3 linked regions of the Saccharomyces cerevisiae S288C genome follow. Changing the gene in region 2 together with the main gene of any one other region gives a genetic interaction. Each region holds a gene or a part of one and is shown on either strand. Other genes may lie near its edges.

Evidence for each region.
Region 1: mutations in DPC29 (region 2) and TFA2 together harm fitness less than expected from each alone (positive genetic interaction), as found in Saccharomyces cerevisiae (2 studies listed by BioGRID).
Region 3: mutations in DPC29 (region 2) and YDL124W together harm fitness more than expected from each alone (negative genetic interaction), as found in Saccharomyces cerevisiae (2 studies listed by BioGRID).

Annotation. Positions count from the first base shown.
Region 1 is NC_001143.9:555,337-563,450, forward strand, and holds TFA2 (transcription factor TFIIE subunit TFA2), read left to right. Parts: upstream 1-4,329; coding exon 4,330-5,316; downstream 5,317-8,114. Other genes in the region: TIF1 (translation initiation factor eIF4A), read left to right, coding at 1-838; UTP30 (Utp30p), read left to right, coding at 1,182-2,006; mannosyltransferase KTR2, read left to right, coding at 2,341-3,618; rRNA-processing protein LAS1, read right to left, coding at 5,453-6,961; OAF3 (Oaf3p), read left to right, coding at 7,211-8,114. UniProt on the Saccharomyces cerevisiae protein: Recruits TFIIH to the initiation complex and stimulates the RNA polymerase II C-terminal domain kinase and DNA-dependent ATPase activities of TFIIH. Both TFIIH and TFIIE are required for promoter clearance by RNA polymerase.
Region 2 is NC_001139.9:524,871-532,740, reverse strand, and holds DPC29 (post-initiation translation factor DPC29), read right to left. Parts: upstream 5,110-7,870; coding exon 4,237-5,109; downstream 1-4,236. Other genes in the region: YGR025W (uncharacterized protein), read right to left, coding at 1-102; THG1 (tRNA guanylyltransferase), read left to right, coding at 145-858; MTL1 (Mtl1p), read right to left, coding at 1,822-3,477; VMA7 (H(+)-transporting V1 sector ATPase subunit F), read left to right, coding at 5,412-5,768; UGA1 (4-aminobutyrate transaminase), read right to left, coding at 6,097-7,512.
Region 3 is NC_001136.10:236,262-243,995, reverse strand, and holds YDL124W (aldo-keto reductase superfamily protein), read right to left. Parts: upstream 3,738-7,734; coding exon 2,799-3,737; downstream 1-2,798. Other genes in the region: ubiquitin-specific protease UBP1, read right to left, coding at 1-1,444; SNA4 (Sna4p), read right to left, coding at 2,156-2,578; HNT1 (adenosine 5'-monophosphoramidase), read left to right, coding at 4,390-4,486, 4,598-4,977; AAA family ATPase CDC48, read left to right, coding at 5,332-7,734. UniProt on the Saccharomyces cerevisiae protein: Reduces aromatic alpha-keto amides, aliphatic and aromatic alpha-keto esters, but not beta-keto esters.

The DNA of each region.
Region 1 (8,114 bases), on a different chromosome or scaffold from region 2:
GGACATCAAGGTCCACGCTTGTATCGGTGGTACTTCCTTTGTTGAAGACGCTGAAGGTTTGAGAGATGCTCAAATCGTCGTTGGTACTCCAGGTCGTGTTTTTGACAACATCCAAAGACGTAGATTCAGAACTGACAAGATCAAGATGTTCATCTTAGATGAAGCTGATGAAATGTTGTCTTCTGGTTTCAAGGAACAAATCTACCAAATTTTCACCTTACTTCCACCAACCACTCAAGTTGTTCTATTGTCCGCCACCATGCCAAATGACGTCTTGGAAGTTACCACCAAATTTATGAGAAACCCAGTTAGAATTTTGGTTAAGAAGGATGAATTGACTTTGGAAGGTATCAAACAATTCTACGTTAATGTTGAAGAAGAAGAATACAAATACGAGTGTTTGACCGATTTATACGACTCTATCTCCGTTACTCAAGCTGTCATCTTCTGTAACACCAGAAGAAAGGTCGAAGAATTGACCACTAAGTTAAGAAACGACAAATTTACCGTTTCTGCCATCTACTCTGATTTACCACAACAAGAAAGAGACACCATCATGAAGGAATTCAGAAGTGGTTCTTCCAGAATTTTGATCTCCACTGATTTGTTGGCTAGAGGTATCGATGTCCAACAAGTTTCTTTGGTTATTAACTACGACTTACCAGCTAACAAAGAAAACTATATTCACAGAATCGGTAGAGGTGGTCGTTTCGGTAGAAAGGGTGTTGCCATCAACTTTGTTACTAACGAAGACGTTGGCGCTATGAGAGAACTAGAAAAGTTCTACTCCACTCAAATTGAAGAATTGCCATCCGACATCGCTACTTTGTTGAACTAAGGGAGACAAAAACTTCTTAAAAAAGTATCTTGTGAGGCTATCTTGATAACGTAACATATATTTCTAAAAAGTTATATATGCTTTTTGTATTTAATTTGTTTTTCTTTTTACATTCCTATTATTCTTCAAAGTCCAAAAGACTCTCGGCACGAAGGTTGAAATACCCTATACTAATTGTTTGCTTTGTCTTTTTGTATATATCCGAACGTATCTATCTGAAATTTTTCAAATTTATAAAAAATAATATATATAAAAGGAAAAAAAAAAAAATCGATGCCCTACTAATAGAGATTGGAGCTGAAAAGAAAAAGTGTACATCAAACGCTATATCTCGAGGTTTGGGATGGTTGAGTCAAATGATATTATAAAAAGTGGGCTGGCAGAGAAAGCACTAAAGGCTCTAATTTTACAATGTGAAGAGAACCCATCTTTAAAAAATGATAAGGACATACACATAATCATCAACACGGGCAAAAAAATGGGCATAAACAGGGACAACATCCCCCGTATTATTCCATTAACAAAGTACAAGCTATTTAAACCAAGGGACCTAAACATATTACTCATTACCAAGGATCCCTCTGCCTTGTATAGAGAAACTTTGACGAAAGACGAGCATACGTCGGAATTATTCAAGGAAATTATAAGTGTCAAGAACTTGAGACGTAGATTCAAAGGGAGTAAACTGACCCAACTTTATAAAGATTTTGACTTGGTCGTTGCCGATTACAGAGTTCACCACTTACTTCCGGAGGTTCTTGGTAGCAGATTTTATCACGGTAGTAAAAAATTGCCATACATGATCCGCATGTCGAAAGAAGTAAAATTGAAGCGTCAACAAATGGTCGAAAAATGTGACCCCATTTACGTGAGAGCACAATTGAGAAGTATATGTAAGAATACCTCATACATTCCCAATAATGACAACTGCTTAAGCGTCAGGGTCGGTTATATTCAAAAACACTCCATACCAGAAATTTTGCAAAACATCCAAGATACAATAAACTTTCTCACTGATAAAAGTAAGAGACCGCAAGGCGGCGTCATTAAAGGAGGAATAATATCTATATTTGTCAAGACCAGTAACAGTACTAGTTTGCCTATATATCAGTTTTCAGAGGCTAGAGAAAATCAGAAAAATGAAGATCTGAGTGATATTAAATTGTAAAATTAAAGCATCATCTTTTAAATACGGTATTTAAACACTCCCAATGAAAAAGCGTGATTTTGTCTAACTAATTATAGCATTAATAAAGTGTTTTAAACTTTAATTCCTTTCAAGAATTTGCAAGATTATAGAAATTTAGTAAGCGAAAAAAAAAAAGAAAAAAAAAAGAACAGACACCCTATAAAAATAGAATAAACATAATAAGCCACCATTTGCCTGTCTGATGATATTCTTGATTCTTTATATCTCTTCAGGTATGTGACACCTATACATGCAACGCTTTTTTTGCGTTTTTTCTATACAATAGTTGTTTATTTAAAAGCGTAGGAGCTTCATGCAAATCTGCAAGGTATTTCTTACACAGGTTAAAAAACTACTTTTTGTTAGTCTTCTATTTTGCTTGATAGCTCAAACATGTTGGCTTGCACTTGTACCATATCAGAGACAGCTGAGCCTAGATTCGTATTTTTTTAGAAGATCTCGAGAAGTTTCATCGAGATATGATTTTACAAGGAGGCGACATATGAATCAGACGCTGAAGCTATCTAGCAACACTTATAATGATGAACCACTAAACAAGACCAAGGGAATAAAAAATCAAAGAGAAAATGCTACATTGTTAATGCTTGTGCGTAATTGGGAACTTTCGGGGGCACTCCGTTCCATGAGATCACTAGAAGACCGTTTCAATAAAAACTACCAGTATGACTGGACATTTCTTAATGATGTCCCATTTGATCAAGAGTTCATCGAAGCCACCACAGCCATGGCTAGTGGTAGAACGCAATACGCTTTAATCCCTGCGGAGGACTGGAACAGGCCATCTTGGATCAACGAAACTCTATTTGAAGAGGCTTTACAATTAATGGAGGAAAAAAATATCTTGTACGGTGGGTCAAAGTCATATAGAAATATGTGCCGATTTAATTCTGGATTTTTCTTTAGACAAAAGATATTAGATCCGTACGATTTTTATTTCAGAGTTGAGCCAGATGTAGAGTATTTTTGCGATTTTCCCTACGATCCATTCAAGGTGATGAGGCAGAACAATAAGAAATATGGCTTTGTGATAACTATGTATGAATACGAAGATACAATTCCGAGCCTATGGGAAGCTGTAGAAGAATATCTCGAAGAAACAGAGTCAGCAGATATTGACATGGAAAGCAACGCTTTCGGGTTCGTATCAAATTTCGACTTCATCGGTAAATCTTTTGGTGTCATCGATAGTAACAGCGGCTATAATTTATGTCATTTTTGGACAAATTTTGAAATTGGCGATTTGAACTTTTTCAGAAGTGAGAAATACATTAGATTTTTCGAGTACTTGGATTCAAAGGGCGGTTTTTACTATGAAAGGTGGGGAGATGCACCAGTTCATTCGATTGCTGCCTCACTTCTTTTGAAAAAAGACGAAATCATCCATTTTGATGAATTAGGCTATAAGCATATGCCTTTTGGCACGTGTCCATCTGCATACTACCTGAGACTTCAACAAAGATGTCTTTGTGATAGCAATCACCCAGACAATATTGATCTCAATGTCATCAGCTGCCTGAGAAGATGGTGGAAGGACGGCAGCGGTAAATACTTCCTCAAACACGATTCATAGCGAGAAAAGCGTGTATCCGCATACTATAAATACGTATATATAACAAAGTAACCATCAAGAAAGATGTTCCATACCTCAGGTCATCACCATTTCATGGGTCGCTTAACCGAAAATATCAGAAGCAACCTCTAACGGCGATGGTTTTAAAGATGGATTACCTCAGCACCAACAGTTACACTATTCGGAACCGAAGATTTATCTACGATACTCATTATCCTTTCTCTATCTCACCCTGAAATAATTTATTAAAAATAAACTATGCCAAAGAAGAGAAAAGAGAAAAATTTAAAAAAAACGAGAGCCATTGCAACAGTTTTGGAAGTAAGAATAGGTTGAAAATTAGTCAAAAAGACAAATCCGGCTCCTATAAACCATCAAACAATAGGCTCCCTAAAGCATCACAAATTGTTATGCTTTCTTTTAAGAGAAATGTTTTTTAAAGCATCAAAGGTCCAGGGCAAGAAAAATTCTTTCTGGTAGCAAATGCTATAGTTCACGGCTTTTATAGTCAAAATGTTATATGCGAGAAGAAAAAGAAAAGCGCGAGCTTACTTCGGGTAAGAAGTTCACTTACGAATCAGGGCAAAAGAGCTAATAAGAAGTGAACTAGTTACATAACCGTGTGCTCTGTAGAACACGAGAAAGCTGTTACACAGAACTGTTTTATACCAAGTAGTTCGTTCGATTTGGAAAAGAGAGTAGTCTTTTGCGATGAGTAAAAACAGGGACCCTCTACTGGCTAATTTGAACGCTTTCAAAAGCAAAGTGAAGTCTGCCCCGGTGATCGCACCCGCTAAAGTTGGACAGAAGAAGACCAATGACACAGTGATTACTATAGATGGAAACACTAGGAAGAGGACGGCCTCCGAACGTGCGCAAGAAAACACTTTGAACTCTGCGAAAAATCCTGTGTTAGTGGATATCAAGAAAGAAGCTGGGAGCAATAGCTCTAATGCTATTTCATTAGATGACGACGATGACGACGAAGATTTTGGTAGCTCTCCTTCAAAAAAAGTAAGGCCTGGCTCTATTGCTGCAGCCGCTTTACAAGCAAATCAAACAGATATTTCCAAGAGTCACGATTCTTCAAAGTTGCTTTGGGCGACTGAATACATTCAAAAGAAAGGTAAGCCCGTTTTGGTGAATGAGTTATTGGACTACTTGTCAATGAAAAAAGATGACAAGGTTATTGAGCTTTTAAAAAAATTAGATAGAATAGAGTTTGACCCCAAGAAGGGGACTTTCAAATACCTTTCCACCTACGATGTCCATTCCCCTTCGGAACTGCTGAAGTTGTTACGTTCACAAGTAACATTCAAAGGTATTTCCTGCAAAGACTTGAAAGACGGTTGGCCACAATGCGATGAAACGATTAACCAACTGGAGGAAGACAGCAAAATTTTGGTGTTAAGAACTAAAAAGGATAAAACTCCAAGATACGTTTGGTATAACAGCGGTGGTAACTTGAAATGTATTGACGAGGAGTTTGTTAAAATGTGGGAAAATGTGCAATTACCGCAATTTGCAGAATTGCCAAGAAAGCTGCAAGATTTAGGTCTAAAGCCTGCTAGTGTCGATCCTGCTACTATCAAAAGACAAACAAAGAGAGTTGAAGTTAAAAAGAAGAGACAAAGAAAGGGTAAGATTACTAACACTCATATGACCGGTATCTTGAAAGATTATTCCCATAGAGTATGAGGTTGTTTTGATTAAATCATTTTCGTTTGCATATTAGGTTAAAGAGACTGTGATTATATATACATGCACGTTAGGGTGCAGCATACAACTCAGCTTTATAGTCTACAACGTATTTATAACGAGCATTGGAAACAGGTTACAGGACACCAAAGGGTTTGGGTTTCCAATTTTGAACCCTTGACCAATTTTTTACTGGTGTAGCTCTGTTCTCCTCTTGTTTATTTTTTTTACCTACTGTTCCGAAACTGCTCATTCTCTGTTTCAAAGACGCCAAATCGCCTAGTATATCATTGGTATCAGCCTTTAATGCCGGACTCACTTCCTTCTTCAATGGAACGGAATCTTTTTCCGCAGGAATAAAATCATACAGCTTTATTTCACCTTCATTAAACCTTAATGATAAATTGTCTATGTTTTCCTTCAGTTTTGCCTCGATTTCCACTGTGCTATCAATTTGTTTTCTCCGTTTTTTGTTTCTCCATGAGTTACCAGTAATTTTTTCAGTCTCTAGTTTGGCCAGCATAGATTGGCAAAAATACAATATCAAGTATGACGCATTTTCATCAATAAGTTTCTCCCAATTTTGCCATTTATTTTTAAAATTTTTATTGTTAAGGTTATTTATAATAACATCTAACAGCCTTTTTTGTAGTTCTTTCCAGGCATTGAATTTCCTTTTTAAAATTGTCGTTATATTACTATCATCTTGTTGGGTTCTGTAATTCCTAGCTACCCACTCAATGACCTTCCAATCAAAATTGTTCAAATTAAGCATTAAAACTTTGAGTAAAAGTGGGTCATAATTGTTAAAAAATTTCTCAAGAACCACATTGTGATAAATGGATAATTTCCAAAGTTCTTGCCATTGACGCAAATTTTCCCTGATCATAGTTTCTGATGAACTTGCGTGTGAACTTTTCCTCTTTTCGGCATCATAGTTCACCAAATTATCCCCAGAAAAGTTACTACTTGTAATTAAACTATCGTTTGCATTCTCCCACACCCATTTGTATTCCAGAAACTCGTTTCTAAGTCGCTTCCATTTATCAAGTGTTTTAGTTAATGACTCCATATATTTCTCCAGTTTATCATTTCTTCTGTATCCGTAACCGGTATCATCATCATCGTCATCATCATCCCTGTCATCTTCTAATTCCTCATCGTTCCAGTAGTGATCATATAGCCAAGATAACGCTTCATTGGCGGCCCAACGAAGCATTTCTAATCCAGGTAAATCTCTCTCATGTGTACCCCAGTGTCTCAAATCAACAAACCAGGACGGCAGTCCAATTTTAGCAGCTAATGTGTGTAAGGGAATAGCGAACTGAGATTGTTGCGTTGGATCCAATAAGCCATTGACAAACCGAATCAAAGCCATTACATACGATAACCGGATAGGAATAGAATCCTGATGTACTCCTAAACACGCTTCCTTTTCGTCTAGCAATACCGCACATGTTATTTGTGCTGTAGAGTCCACCACGTGAGGTAAATATTGGGAACCCTTTAGTCGGTAGCTCTGTACTCTTTGCACTGCACGCTGTCGCTTATCTTCAATGGTTCCTTTGCTTTTCGGGTAAAACCAAAGTTTCAGCTCCTCTAGTTCAGCAAAATCCCTCCATGGAACGATTCGTGGTGGTATCATTAGATTGCCCTTTTTTCATTGCTTTCTAGAAATGACTTTTGTTTAAGCTAATTTAGGCATTCTTAGGTATTTTTTTCACTCTTTCTGCGACTGCGATGAGCTTATTAATCTTTCACATTCGGGTAATTTTTTGCATAACAATAAGTCATGAATTTATTGTTGCGATTTTGCAGTGTTATGAGTCTATGAAGAGAAGAAAGAAACTAGAAACCAATTGATACCAGACTTTAGTTGACAACTGATCTCATAATGGGATATGACTCCCAAGTTAGGACAAAAAAACGACATCGAATTACTGTAGTATGCACAAATTGCAAAAAAAGGAAAAGTAAGTGCGATCGAACGAAACCATGTGGAACATGTGTACGACTGGGAGATGTGGACAGCTGTGTCTATCTCACCGATAGCTCTGGACAACCTGAAAGCAGTCCTTCATTGAATGATGCTGACCCTCTGAGGAAACAATCAACTCCTGCGGAACGAATAAGTCCAGGTTTCATTAAGAAAAGAAGATCGTCACAGACAAGACAAGACGAAGATCACTGGCAAAGAGTACGAGAACTTGAAAATCAATCATCACTTTATTATCTACCAATTCATGAAGAAACTCCATTTTTTATTGACCTCATCCCTAATGGGTTTTATTTAGAGACCAAAAGGTCTGCTGATAATTTATTTGGTCTGTTCACGGATAGAGCAATTGAAAATCGCGACCCCTATCTCCAAGCAATGGTAACATTTAGAAGTATCGCAATCAAAAAAATGATGGATAAATTGGGAAGCAACGGCAATAATGTGAAAAATGGAAGCTTGCCTAAATCTTTCGAAGCTTTATCCACTTTCGATGCTGATGACGAACGCCACATTAGCGATGATGTTGTTGGTAAGGGCAATAACTTCCGCATGCATCAGACTATTCACAAATCATTGTTTAACAAATTCGCTCAATACAGAGAAAATAATGCTAAAAAATTCAGCTCAGAAACTATATTAGCAAAGGATTATTTGCCTCCTTTAAAAATACTTGAAAGTGAGGTTTTAGCACTTTTTGAAGAAAAAATTTACAATATGATACCGATTTTCGATATGAAAGTTTTGCGTCATGAAATAACGATATTTTATCAAAATATAGTCGAGAAAGGGAATCCAATTT
Region 2 (7,870 bases):
TTTACCCGGATTGAAAGTTTTTATTGTTTTAAAAATCACTGATGGAGAATTAATTGAAGACATGCGGATAGAGAAAAACTTAAAGGGCTCATAGCCAGTCATGTGCCTTAATGTTCAAAGATTCTACTTCCTAATGCGAGCGGGATGGCAAACTCTAAATTTGGATACGTAAGGCAATTTGAAACACACGATGTTATTTTGCCTCAGTGTTATATTGTGGTAAGAATAGACGGCAAGAAGTTTCATGAATTTTCCAAGTTCTACGAGTTTGCCAAGCCAAACGATGAAAATGCTTTGAAGTTAATGAATGCATGTGCTAAGAACCTTGTCCTCAAGTACAAAAATGATATTATATTGGCGTTCGGGGAGAGTGACGAATACTCATTTATTTTGAAGTCAAGTACAACTTTATTTAACAGAAGGAAAGACAAGCTTGCGACTTTATTTGGTTCTTTTTTCACGTCCAATTACGTCGCATTATGGGCCAAGTTTTTCCCAGAAAAGCCGTTGAATATCAAGCATTTGCCATATTTCGATTCAAGGTGTGTAGCATACCCTAATTTACAAACGATAAAAGATTATTTATCCTGGAGATATGTCGATACACATATAAACAATCTTTATAATACGACGTTTTGGCAGTTAATAATAAAGTGTGGCTTAACTCCCCAGGAATCCGAGAAGAAACTATGTGGAACATTTAGTAATGAGAAACAGGAAATACTATTTTCTGAATGTGGGATAAACTACAATAATGAACCTGAAATGTTTAAAAAGGGTTCACTAGTAACAAGAAAAGGAGAAATACTTCATATTAACGTCATCGCACAGATAGATGAGTTGTTCGAAGGCTATTAATAACCTTTATATATATATATATATATATATATATATATGTATATCAGATCATCGTTGATTTCTAATGAACTTTCTGCACTTTCCTGTTATTTCCAAAGAACTGGGTTCCTTTATGTTAATATTGGACGATCTTTTAAAAGTTAAAACTAACTCATCGTTTCTTCAGTTTTGCTATCTTATTTTTGTGATGATAAAAAATATCTCCGCGACGGGGAATTGAACCCCGATCTGGCACGCGACAAGCGCCCATTCTGACCATTAAACTATCACGGAAGTAACTCGAGTGTTCGATTTTCAACTAGCAATATATCATATTGTTAGATACTTGCGGAACAAACAAAAATAATTACATTGGGAAAGTCGCTTTTCCATTTGTGGTGACCGCTACCCTTAGGAACAGGAACCTTAAGCTAACAAGGTAATTTCTTAGCTTCCTCTGCATTCTGTCTTGCCTTCTCCAGAGGATCCAAAATGGTGTTCGAAGCTTTTGCAGAGACAATATTTTCAAAAGATGGGCCCAAATTAAGAGTTCCTTTGAACTCTGCGATCCTTCTTCTCTTCCTTTGAAGTTTTCTTCCATGCGCTCTCTTTAGTCTCTAAACCTGTATCGTCAGCAGTATGCACTTGGGTGACATGTAAAAGTTTTCCAAATGCACTTTTCTTTCCAAGTGTAAAATAAAGCATTTCCGGATGGTCAAAATAAATATATAATACTTATTCCAAGTTTATAAAAGTATATGCGTTTATAATATTAAGTATATATGTATATATACGGGGAAGTGAACGTAGTGGTTATGTTATTATTTAGTCGTCAAAAAAATTGGGAAACCTGTGACAGAAAAAGGGAAAAAAAAGTTCTGTAATATGCATAAATTATTAGGAATTGAATCGGAAAAAGAAGAACGAAATGACCGAGGGTGATTTTAAGAAGAAAAGTTATGGCAAAGCTGCTTTCGCTATGATTTAATAGTTCGTGATATTTAAGCCGTTGTTTGGTTTCGTGTAATAGTTCTCGTCGATGCTAGCTTCGCTGTCATCATAAACACGATGAATGTTTTCATCGTGCATTACTTCATCTGCGTCGTTGTAATCTTGACTATTACTATTCGACATTGAATATGATGCAGATTTAGTAGGTGAGTATTGATCATCTATGCCTCTGTTATGGAAGTTGGATGATAGGTTTTCATCATTAGCGTCGTCGTCGTCGTCGTCGTCGTAGCCTTCAACATTAGTGTGTTTAGGGGTGTAGGGGTTGTCATTGTTAAGTATATCTTCTGGATCGATATCACCAAAATTCTGAATATTATTGCTGCCGATGGGGGAATCTGAGCTGAATCTTTCTGTTTCACCAATTTTTTTACCCAGCAAGAAATACCATATTTTGGTGAAAATGTTACTACGATAAGCTGTGACAATTTTACCGTCAGAGTCAATGAAATCCGTTTTTTTAGGCTGAACACAAAACATGTAAATCAATATTAGTAGAATTAGGATGAGGGGGGCACCTATGCCAACCACACAACCGATGATAATATTACGATTCTTTTTTGATAAGCCTGAGTGATGTGAATTTTTTCCTGAAGATGCGGATGCTGTCGGTGAATACGTTATTGTGGTATAGTAGTTAGAGAGGATGGTCTGGCCTTCTATTATACTAGTTATGGTTTTTGCCAAATTGGAATATTCGGAAGCGGGAGTAATAGAAGATGAGGCGGATGTAGAAGTGATTGATGAGGTAGGGTTTGAGGAAGATGAAGATGAAAATGAAGGATATGACGAAGACGAGTATATGGATGAAGAGGAAGATGTGGAGAGGGTGAAATATGATGATGATGATGATGATGATGATGAGGATGAGGATGATGATGAGGATGATGAGGATGAGGATGATGAAAATGAGGAGGAGTAGGAAAAGAGGGTGGATGAGGATGAGGATGATGAGTACGAGGATGATGTCAATTCGGATGAGGACGAAGGTGGAGATGAAGTTGAAGAGGAGGGAACGTACACTGAAGAAGTCGAAACGGATGTTGAAATTGAAGAGGAAATCAAAGAGCTTGAACTTTCCGAACTAAACGTAAACGTTGACGAAGACGTAGAGATAACCAACGATGAGCTAGTGGAAAGTGTGGAGGAGGCAACTGTCGAAGATGTTGATGCCACAGTGAATGTCGGCAGTGATGATGACGATGATATTATTGTTGATGATGAAGAGGAAGGAGATATTGATGATGATGACGATGATGACGTAACCTCCGAAGAAGACGACGATGTTGAAGACGACGAAACTTGCATGGACGAAGAGGAAAGTTCTGAGGATAATGTTGACGAAAGAGTAAGCAGTGAAGAACTTTGTGGGAAGGAAGTAAAGGATACTGAAGCTATACTCGGCGTTGATAAACTTGCGCTGCTCGTTGCATCGGTACTGGACGTAAATGACTCAACTGCGGAAAGCGAAGTGATGGAAGGAGCTGTGCTCGATGTTGTGCTATTAGCTGGAACCAACTCCTGCGAAAGAACACTTAGCGGTAGTGTTGTTAACGCCATGAGAATCGTTCTCCACATAGATAGGCTTGAAGCAGAGCTCTTCTTCCTGGTCGGATTGCAGCTTGCCATACCTTAACTACTTATATTATACTAACTGGGAGTAAGTTAAAAGTGGAAACGAAGATCGAACCAACCCGAAATGAACTAGAAGTGTTTAAACAAATTTCGGAAGCAATGGAGGATTATATCCCAATTATCTCCTCGGAATATATCCTTATTATGCCTTGGTCTTCCAATATGGACCGAAGAGTACTTACAGTAAATAGCAGTATCCTTCGTTTTTCATCTACACTTTTCTACCTAAAATTGATCTTCCCGAAGAAGAAAAACTAAAAACTTCGATTTGATGACTGTCAAGACCCCAAGAAAGAGGGAAAAAAAAAAATGATATCTCATGCAACAACAAGTAATTAAGTGCTCCTTGTTCATGGAAGACACAACAGGCACCACTAATAACCTGAATGAGGCACCTTCGACTTTCGAGATGAGCCCTTAGTTCATCCTGGTGTTGTGTTTGAGAGGGGGAGAGCACATCATTGTACTTCCAGATCCCCCTAGCCATGATCTAATATTACCGCTGAGTAAAAATAGATCTCGGCTGCGTCTCCGTCTCCGCCCGCCTTCCGTCGGTTACTTCGTCGGTTCTTGCTCGACCCCCGCCAGTCCGCAGACAACAGTCCGCAGCAGGCAAGTGCTGGTGTCCGCTTGGTGTTTTTACGTACGATTGTCTTTGTTGTTGTTTTTACTCTTTATTACAGTTATTACTACTGTTTGTTTAGTATATACAGGTATTTGTGGTATTGATTATTTATTTACGGTTTGGTTGGATTAAGCGTTGCTAGCGTTAGTGTACAACGACGTCACTTCGTCGATGTCCTCGAGCGCTGTGGTCAGTTTCTGTAGTTTCTCGAGCGTTTCATCGCCTTGCACGAAAACTTCCATATCCGGCTTGGCATTGTAGCCGATGCCCAAGTCTCTGATGTGGAAACCACGCTCCTTCAGTAGGGCGGCCACCTTATTGGTATCGGCAGGTTCCATCACCGCCTCGTAAGTTTGGCCTGTAGTTTCAGTTTCGGTATCACACTCTAAATCTTCTGCGTCTTCCTGCACAGGCGCAATGTCTTCGATGCCTTGAATCTCCAGTACGCTTTCTAGCACCTTGTCCTCAGTGTCTAACATCTTCGGAGGTACCATTGTAACGTATCCTTTTTTGTCGAAGAAAAACAACGTTGGAGTCATCGATCCATTAGCTTTATTAAATGCACTCCTTATCAGACCTATGGTCCTGTTCTTGTTGTCTGTCAGCGCTTCCACCACTATAGCGACCCCGCCGGGCCCCATTCCCTCGTATACACATAGCTCAGAAGCGTTTGAGTCCTTGCCCGATGCGCTGCTTCCAGAAGCTTTCCGGATGGCGTTCTCAATAACTTTTTTGCTGACATTGTTTTTATTTGCTAGCTCGATGCTGGTGGCTAATCTTATATTCATGCTCGGATCCGTAATACCGTTGCCTAACTTGACTGACATTGCTATCTGGTTTGCAAACTTGTTATTAATTTTGTTTCGTTCCGCATCATTCTTGGCTTTACCGTGCTTGATGGTTGACCATTTGTTGTGACCTGAACGTACCGAGGAATTCAGCACACTAAACGATCGAGAGTTTTTGAGCAGTTCACCCAGATACCTATTTCTTACCAACATTTTCCAATTTTTGATGCGTTCATACCAAGTTTGCTGTTTTTCTTAGTTATTATCATCATCTTTCCCCTTATTGCTGCTGAAACTTGCGTACGTGCGTACTAAAAAAATTTCACTGCGCTTACGCCGGTAAAGGGAAGTAGGAAAACGAAAGAAAAAAAAAAAATAAAGGCGAACGATAACAGGAAAACCAACGTGAATTGCAAGCACTACATTTATTATATCGAGTTGACAAAGAATTAAGAAAATAGAGCACTACATTTCTATATTCATAGCTAGTCTCACTGACGCATAGTAACTAAATCATGGCTGAGAAACGTACTCTTATAGCTGTGATAGCTGACGAAGATACTACAACTGGTTTATTGTTAGCCGGGATTGGACAAATCACTCCTGAAACCCAAGAAAAGAACTTTTTTGTTTACCAAGAAGGTAAGACTACTAAGGAGGAAATCACTGACAAGTTTAATCACTTTACTGAAGAGAGAGACGATATTGCCATCCTTCTAATCAACCAACATATCGCGGAAAACATAAGAGCTAGAGTGGACTCCTTCACCAATGCGTTCCCTGCTATTTTAGAAATTCCATCTAAAGATCATCCCTACGACCCTGAAAAGGACTCTGTATTGAAGAGAGTCAGAAAGTTGTTCGGTGAGTAAGCGAACGATCTTTCCCAAAACAAACACAATTACTGGTAGATTACTAGTAGCAGGCGGAGGTGGAGGGCGGGAGCCACTGTTATTGCGTTTGTATAATATATACACTCATAAATGATATATTTAAGGTTCAGATAAAAACAACTTTTTTTTTTTTAGCACGTCTTTACTGCAGTCACCAAACCCATTTTTTTTTTCCTATTGTGAATACCCGCCCATATTTTTCACACACAACTGATGAGTAATATAAAACTTTTCTTTAAAATTATAACAAGATACACATATATAAAGACCAAAAAAGGGAACGTGACACGGCCTCGCTAATATACAATCATAATTCATTAACTGATTTGGCTAATGCTTCAATAAAGATATCAGCATGCTTCTCCTCGAATGTTAATGAAGGTCTTAATCTCACTGCATGGACTGCACATCCACCAACGTTGCAACCATTCAACTTCAATTTCTTCAATAGTAAGTCTCTCTTCTCACCAGTAGGCAAATCCCAGGCAATGAATGTGCCTCTTCCTTTACCTCTCAAGTTTTGAAAGTTTTCAGGGTATTTCTTCTGCAAACCCTCCAATTTCTTGAACAAATAATCACCTACTCTTGAACATTGTTCAGTCAACTTCTTGTCGGAGATTTCCTGTCCAATGGCACCTGCAATGATCATTCTTGCAGGTTCACCACACCATGTGTTGAATTGTCTGTATGGTTTGTTTGGAATGAATTTAGGGTCGTGGAAGAAATATCCTGCACTTTGGAATTTCTTGGAAAAGGTCACTAAATCCACAGGTGGTTGAATATCGGCGTACTCATGACACCATAGCTTACCGGTGGCTCCGACACCTGTTTGCACTTCATCTATGATGTAGACAACGTTATACTTCAAGGTAATGTCTCTTAGCTTTTGTAAGAAATACTTAGAAGCGTGGTTATCACCTCCCTCAGATTGAATTGGTTCGATGATTAAGGCAGCAACTGGAATAGACCAGGTTTTGATTAATTCTTCAACAATGGCCAAGCAATGGTCATCCTCTTTACGGTTTGCATCAGAATTTTCATCTAATGGGTATTGGTAAGATGGATACTCAGCATGAGGCCAGTGGAAGGCTGGGAAATCCAACTTGTGAATTGGTTTAGAACAAGTTGTGGAACCGGAGGCAAACAATCTACCGTGGAACGCTCTCTTGAACGATAGTACGGCAAGATGAGGGGCGCCAGGGGCGTCATTGTCCATGACAGACAAGTTTTCCTTTTCAGAAAAATCGGCATCATAGCCCCTTTGTTTGGCACGGTAATAAATAAAGGCAGCCTTGAACGCTAATTCATTGGCATCTGCACCGGAAAGCCCTGACCAGACGTGATCTTGACCCTTTGGCGCAGATTTCAATATTTGCTTCAATATCTTGTCTAAATCCTTAGATGGGAAGTTACCTAAGGCAGGACGGTCGACCAAAGCACGGATCATTTCTGGTGATTGTGCTGCCTTGATCAAAGCAGGGTTGTTATAACCAAGTGCAATTGAAGAGATTTGGGCATACAAATCCAAATATGTGTTCCCATCCACATCAGTGATATAGTTACCTAAAGATTTCTCATAATCAGCCAAAAAATATGCTGGTCTTGTGTCAAAAACTTCACCCAGTTCCTTTAACTGCTTCTGGGATTCAGGACCAGGAATGGACTCGGTCTTAACAGTTGGTTTGGTTGGCTCTTCTGGGTAGTATTGTTCACAAATAGACATTGTTCTTAGTTATATTTCTTATTGACGGTTTCTTGTCTGTTCTTTCTGTAATGTAACACAGTAAGTGAGTATTTTGGGAGAAGGAAAAATCCTAAAACTATTGAAATTACAAATGGCCTTATATACAAATATATGTGAAAACCTGAACCAGATTCCCTTAAATCATTACATCCCGCGAGATTACTCACTTAATTTTACAGTAAACAGATCTGGCGCTTGCTTATACTACTGGAGACAAATCATATCCAATCACCGCACCAATGGATAAACATATTTGCCGTCCAAAGCGGCGATTGCTTTGTTCTATTATCTATCTCTTCCTTCAAGCGCCTTTGATTAGATTAACTGCCGGTGCCAC
Region 3 (7,734 bases), on a different chromosome or scaffold from region 2:
TTGGATCAAATACGGATCTGTTGATATGAATGGATAATAATGGTGGAGGTCTTGATATTAAAATCTGCTTAGATTTAGAGCATTTACGTACCATATTTGCTGTATGCAACTTCTTATAATCTTCATCGTCAATAACTGGTTTGGCAAGAACTTCTTCGATTTGATGGACCCTATCTTTTACAGCGTTAATTAACTTTTCTGGGATCGAACCCTCAGGTTTTTTTTCAAATTCTTTCAACTGACCAAATAAATGAGAGTGCGCTGCTGTGAGGGCACAACGGTTACATTCTACGCCTTCGATGATTTCAGGTTTACTCCAGTCGCTTAATAACTGAGATAATTTTAAAGTGGAACCAATATTCTCGTTCGGTAAATTTAAGCTTAATCCCGAAAATACGGAATATCTTATGCCACCGTTCTCACCACACTGTAAACAACCAATTCTTTCTGCCGTGATACCATCTAAAGGAGTCATTAGTTTGAAAGGTGTGAAATTTTGAATGGACTTGTCATGTAGTATAGAGTTAGGATCAATCTGTTCAGTTGGAATGTAAACAGTGCCAACTTCACCAAGGTTAAGTTGACCTACTAAAGCATCATCGGGTAATTCTGATTTCGCAACTGGAGTGGTATCTAGTTTTTCAGTATTCAATGATTTAACGTTACTTTCCAACTCGGCTAGTATGTTCTGGAAGAATTCTTGCGCGTCCTCTTGGTCGTAGCCAAGAAGAATATTTTTTCTTGGAGATTTGGACATTGCTTTCAATAAACTATTGGTTTTGAAATAGGGTTTATCCCGATAATACTTCGCATTTAAGGCAGAAAGTAGATCCCTTAAGGCGACACTGAAAGTGATATCTGGCTCCTGGCTCTTTTCTTCGTCTTCTTTCGAACTTGACTTCCTATTCAATTTCTTCTTATGCTTACCATAAACTTTGCCACCCTTACGAGTGTTTTTCTTATGAGTGGCTTCATCTTGAGCAGATTCTTGCCCGTTTCCTTCTTCATTGTGTTCATTTTGTTCTATCTCCTCATAGGTCCTTATGACATTATTGTCCAAGAACTCCATTAATTCTCTGGATGATGCCAATGATTGCAAAACAGAGTTCATAAAACAAGTGTTACCATCATTAACTAAACCAGCAATGAAACCACCTCTTTTCAAGATCTCTTCGTCTAAGTGGGTAAACTTACTTCTGGGCAACCAACGGCTAAGGCTATTATTATTTCTGAAGTTTGTTGTCATTTCACTAACGCTCTCAACAATGTAGTTTAGATGGTCTGGTTTTTTATAAAAAAATACTACTATGCCAAAAATTAATAAATAAATCGATAGATTGTTATTGTTGTTACTCCAAGTTTTAAAATTTCTCAAAAAATCCTGTCGGGAACCAAATAAAAATTGTAATAAACTGTTTATCTTGCTTTCAATAAACAAATCCATACAAAATTTTGTAGATTAAAAGGGGAGAAGTGTTCGAAAGTATCTAGTTTCGAACAAGGGAGGGCACTGAAGACGTAAAATGATCAGACGTTATAATGGAAAAGAAAGGAGAAGCGAATTTTGACAATCGCTTCTATTCTTTGAATGTGTATAAAATTTTTTTTTCCTGAGAAAAAAAAGGACGCAGATCACAATATTAAAAGCAATACTATGGCGTGCTTTTAAAGCAAAAAATGTTTCTGTTTTTTAAATATATAACCAATAATTATTGTATAATAGATTTAACTAGCCTGGCCATCTTGAAAATTTTGTGGTGCTAGTGAAAAATGTATTTTCGTTTTCCAATGATGGAAAAAGAAACTTGCCTACATAGATGTCATTCTGTACGTAAAGAGGAAAAGAAGGGATATAGCAGAATACACGTATGAAGGTAGGAAGGTTTCCAACAGGCGCTTACTGGTAGTATGATATATGGACATTCAGTGACGTTTATGGGAAAAACATTACGGCTTACAGATCCGCAAAATAGTTATAGGCTCGAGGGAGCTGGCGGTATTGATCGAAGAAGCTGTCAAAATGAAATACATTTCTTAATGGCAGCTCTTTTACTTTGACTGGCAAACCTCTTTGCTAAGGAAGATCATAGGAAAGAGAAGAACGGTCTTCGCTTGCTTGCTTGCTGGAATTTTCATTTTCCTTGCTGTAGCTTCATCATGGCACATAAGGAGGAGGAGACTCAACCAGAGACTGTTTGTTGTCATGGGGAGCTGCGCCTTGTAACAGAGGAGTTTCAACGCTCGGGTATACGTTTCTAGCGGAGCTTCCTTGTTGTGGGCGGTTTTGGGGGGTCTGCGAGTTTTGAGGACGATTCGAAGGAACGTTTCTTTCGCTATCCACCCAGCCTTGCTGGTAATAATAGACGTATTCAGCGTTCCTTAAAGGACTTGTAATTGTGATGTAGTAGAATGCGTGTAACATACCGGGCAAAAATCCCAGTAGCGTTAGCAATACATTCAGGAGGAAATCAGATGAACAAGGCCCAGATCGAAGAAGGACTGCAGCTGGGGGGAAAAAAAACGCAACAATATACAGTATAAAGTCAGAAACGGTACAACAAACACAGTAGCAACACATGATGCGCGTCCCTATCTGTCTCTGCTCAGTGTGGCACCTTTATTGGGGAGATGCCCTCTTCCGGTATTTTTTGATGGCCTTTTATATAATGTACAGCCCTTTTTTCTTCCTCGATGCTGAAAAGTGGCGGGATGGGTAACGGGGTGATAAACCTGACAAAAAAAGTCGATTAATAAAGTTATACAAAACAAATATGACTCGTACATAAATTATCCGGTATTTATACTTTTTGAGCAGCGTAGTTGTATTTACCGTACAATTTATTCCAATACAATCTTAGCGGTTCATGTTCCAAGCCCAACTCCGTTATCTTATCGACTTCCTCAGCCGTCAAGTCGAAAGAGAATAAATTTTGCGCGTCAGAAATTCTTTGAGGTTTGGAAGAGGTGGTTACAGGCAACACGCCACGTTTGGTCACCCAACGTAGGATAATTTGGGCTTCAGATTTGATATATTTCTCGGATAACTCTTTCACGTATTCGAAAAACGGTTGAGAGTCATCTTGTGCTGTTTTCTTTTGTAAGGGACCTAGTGGCGAGTATGCTTCTACCAATATATCATGTTCTTGGCAAAATTTGTAGATCCCTGGTGTTTGATTCTGCAAGAAGGGACTGAACTCAATTTGATTAACTTGGGGCTTGACTTCCGCAACTTTCAGAATTCTTTGCAAGTCTTCCACAGCAAAGTTGGAAACACCGATATTTTTAGCTTTACCTGATTTGTACAATTGCTCCATGTCCTTCCAGGCTTCCTCCAAACTTAACCCGTTGACCTCTTTGGAAACAAATGGGCTATGCAAAAGGTATAGATCGACATAGTCAGTGCCCATCTTCTTCAAAGCTAAATCTAGTCCATCCGCTGGGGAATCTGACATCTTGATTTGAGGTGAGTACTTGTCTGTCAAGAATATTGCATTTCTTGGTTTTTCGGTGAGGCTAAGTGCCTTCCCAACTTCTGGATATGTTCTGTAGATCTCAGCAGCATCAATGTGAATAATGCCAGGTAACTTCAGAGCATAAACAATCTGTTCGACCAAACTGTTCGAAAAGGTAGCATCCGTTTCTTCGTTTTTATACCATCTAGTACCTGTCCCAATGATGGCGATTGCGGGGATTTTATTTCCATTATTCAAGGTAAAGAACTGTTGGTGAAATGACATCTGTAAAAGTGTTGTTAACTGACCTCCGTTTCTTTAGGGTAACACAACCGTTTACATGTGTATCCATATCCACGTAGTATCCGACTATCAATATATCCGTATATATATATATATATATATGGGATGAGCGTATGTGAGTGTTTTCGTAGATATTCAAAATACGAGTAAAGGAGATCCTAGGTGTGGATTAGTAAGGGGAGTGTGGCAACTTCCTTTTTCCGGTTAATTCTCCGCGCTTTCGTTAGACTATTTTGCAAGGACCCAAATAGGAGACGCATGGAGGCTTCTACAAAACAGCGTGCCGTTTTGATGGCATGAGCAGGGGGCGCAAAGGAAACACCGGTAAATCGCGCAAGACCTTGTTGGCCACGTAGCCTCAAAGGTTGAATTGACACTTGTCTACAGAACTTGAAAAGTACAAAAGGAGGTCACATAAAACAGTAAGCTTGAGAAGCTTTAAGATATGGTGCGAATCGTTACAGAATATTCCTTGCAGAAATAATGGCGGGTCCGTTCTCTTCTGAAGAAGTTACCGCCCTACTGAAGCATTGCTGTACGATCGTGTAATGTGATGTGTGTTCGACTGGAAAGCGGAGAACATTATGAAGTAAAAGGACAATCAGCACGCCTTCCAGACTTTTAAGAAACATTGATGGAGCCATTGATATCGGCACCGTACCTAACAACAACAAAAATGTCTGCTCCTGCTACGCTTGATGCTGCCTGTATTTTTTGCAAGATTATTAAAAGTATGTCACATTACTAATAAAGAGCTTACACTCACACCAATGATGGCGATAGTCTCTATGTAGTACATATACATAAAGCAGAATACTAACAATCGATCCGCTATGCAACAGGCGAAATTCCATCCTTCAAATTGATTGAAACAAAGTACTCGTATGCTTTCTTGGACATCCAACCTACTGCTGAAGGTCATGCTTTAATCATTCCTAAGTACCATGGTGCGAAGTTGCATGACATCCCGGACGAATTCCTTACCGATGCTATGCCGATTGCCAAGAGACTGGCCAAGGCAATGAAGTTGGACACTTATAATGTGTTGCAGAATAATGGTAAAATTGCGCATCAAGAAGTCGACCACGTCCACTTCCATTTGATTCCTAAGAGAGATGAGAAAAGTGGTTTGATTGTAGGGTGGCCAGCCCAAGAAACGGACTTCGATAAGTTGGGCAAGCTACACAAGGAATTGCTTGCCAAACTAGAAGGCTCCGATTAGAGTAATGCATGCTATGATTTCTTTTAGCGTTTTCTTTTCATATTTAAGTTTATACATATGGGTGTGTTTGCTTCCATTCATATCCACTCTATAATGCTAACAATCATGTTACTAGCCATCGTTGCTATCGATACCTTATGAACAGCTCTAACTCCTTCCTTTTTAACCTACCGCCTTTTGCGCACTACCCGGCAACCCCTCGAATGTGAATTCGGTGGCAAAAAAGGACATATATCAGGGCCGTGTATTTAAGAGATCCGCAGTTGATGTAGTCAATTAATCTAGTTCTATTAAGATTTGACTCAACGCCATTGACTCGATAACTGGCTCAACTACAAGACAGATATACAAATCATGGGTGAAGAACATAAACCACTTTTGGACGCCTCGGGTGTCGACCCTCGTGAGGAGGATAAAACCGCCACCGCCATTTTAAGAAGAAAGAAGAAGGACAACATGCTTTTGGTGGACGATGCTATCAATGATGACAATTCTGTCATTGCTATTAATTCTAACACCATGGACAAATTGGAATTGTTCCGTGGTGACACCGTTCTCGTTAAGGGCAAGAAGAGAAAAGATACTGTCTTAATTGTGTTGATCGATGACGAATTAGAAGACGGAGCATGCAGGATAAACCGTGTAGTTCGTAACAATTTACGTATTAGGCTGGGTGATTTAGTTACAATTCATCCTTGCCCCGATATCAAATACGCTACTAGAATTTCTGTGTTACCAATTGCTGATACGATCGAAGGTATAACTGGTAATCTTTTCGATGTTTTTTTGAAGCCTTATTTTGTGGAAGCCTACAGACCAGTGAGGAAAGGCGACCATTTTGTTGTCAGAGGCGGTATGAGACAAGTCGAATTCAAGGTTGTGGATGTCGAACCTGAAGAATATGCCGTCGTTGCTCAGGATACTATTATTCACTGGGAAGGTGAGCCAATCAACAGGGAAGATGAAGAAAATAATATGAATGAGGTGGGTTACGATGATATTGGTGGTTGTCGTAAGCAAATGGCTCAAATTAGGGAAATGGTTGAACTACCATTGAGACATCCTCAGTTGTTCAAGGCTATCGGTATCAAGCCACCAAGAGGTGTTTTGATGTATGGTCCCCCTGGTACTGGTAAAACCTTGATGGCAAGAGCTGTTGCTAATGAGACCGGTGCCTTTTTTTTCTTAATTAATGGTCCAGAAGTCATGTCAAAAATGGCTGGTGAATCAGAGTCTAACTTAAGAAAGGCCTTTGAAGAAGCCGAAAAGAACGCTCCAGCCATCATTTTTATCGATGAAATCGATTCTATAGCTCCAAAGAGAGACAAGACTAATGGTGAAGTTGAGAGAAGAGTTGTCTCTCAATTGTTAACTTTAATGGATGGTATGAAGGCAAGATCTAATGTTGTTGTCATTGCTGCTACCAATAGACCAAATTCGATTGATCCCGCTTTAAGAAGATTTGGTAGATTCGATCGTGAAGTCGACATTGGTATCCCAGATGCTACAGGTAGACTTGAAGTTCTACGTATTCACACCAAGAACATGAAGTTGGCTGATGATGTTGATTTGGAAGCATTGGCTGCTGAAACACACGGTTACGTGGGTGCTGATATTGCCTCTTTGTGTTCTGAAGCTGCCATGCAACAGATCCGTGAAAAAATGGACTTGATAGATTTAGATGAAGATGAAATTGATGCAGAGGTGCTCGATTCTTTAGGAGTCACCATGGACAACTTCAGATTCGCATTGGGCAATTCAAACCCATCTGCATTGCGTGAAACCGTTGTTGAAAGTGTCAATGTTACTTGGGATGACGTTGGTGGCCTAGATGAAATCAAGGAGGAATTGAAGGAAACTGTAGAATACCCAGTCTTACATCCAGACCAATACACAAAGTTTGGGTTATCACCATCAAAGGGTGTGTTGTTCTACGGTCCACCAGGTACAGGTAAAACTTTGTTAGCAAAAGCTGTAGCTACTGAGGTTTCTGCCAACTTTATCTCAGTCAAAGGTCCAGAATTATTGAGTATGTGGTATGGTGAATCGGAATCTAACATCCGTGATATTTTTGATAAGGCAAGAGCAGCTGCACCAACCGTCGTTTTTCTAGATGAATTAGACTCCATTGCCAAGGCAAGAGGTGGTTCCTTGGGTGATGCTGGTGGTGCTTCGGATAGAGTCGTCAACCAACTATTAACAGAAATGGATGGTATGAATGCTAAGAAAAATGTGTTCGTGATTGGTGCCACCAATAGGCCAGATCAAATTGATCCTGCTATTTTAAGACCTGGCAGATTGGATCAATTAATTTATGTTCCATTGCCAGATGAAAACGCTAGATTATCTATTCTAAATGCTCAATTAAGGAAAACACCACTAGAACCAGGGCTAGAGTTAACTGCGATTGCCAAGGCCACTCAAGGTTTCTCTGGTGCTGATTTACTCTATATTGTGCAGAGGGCTGCTAAATACGCTATCAAGGATTCTATCGAAGCTCACAGACAACACGAAGCTGAAAAGGAAGTGAAAGTAGAAGGTGAAGACGTGGAAATGACAGATGAGGGAGCAAAGGCTGAACAAGAACCAGAAGTAGATCCTGTTCCATATATTACAAAGGAGCATTTCGCAGAAGCTATGAAGACCGCTAAACGTTCTGTTTCAGATGCTGAATTGCGTCGTTATGAAGCATACTCACAGCAAATGAAAGCATCTAGAGGTCAATTCAGTAATTTCAACTTTAATGACGCTCCATTA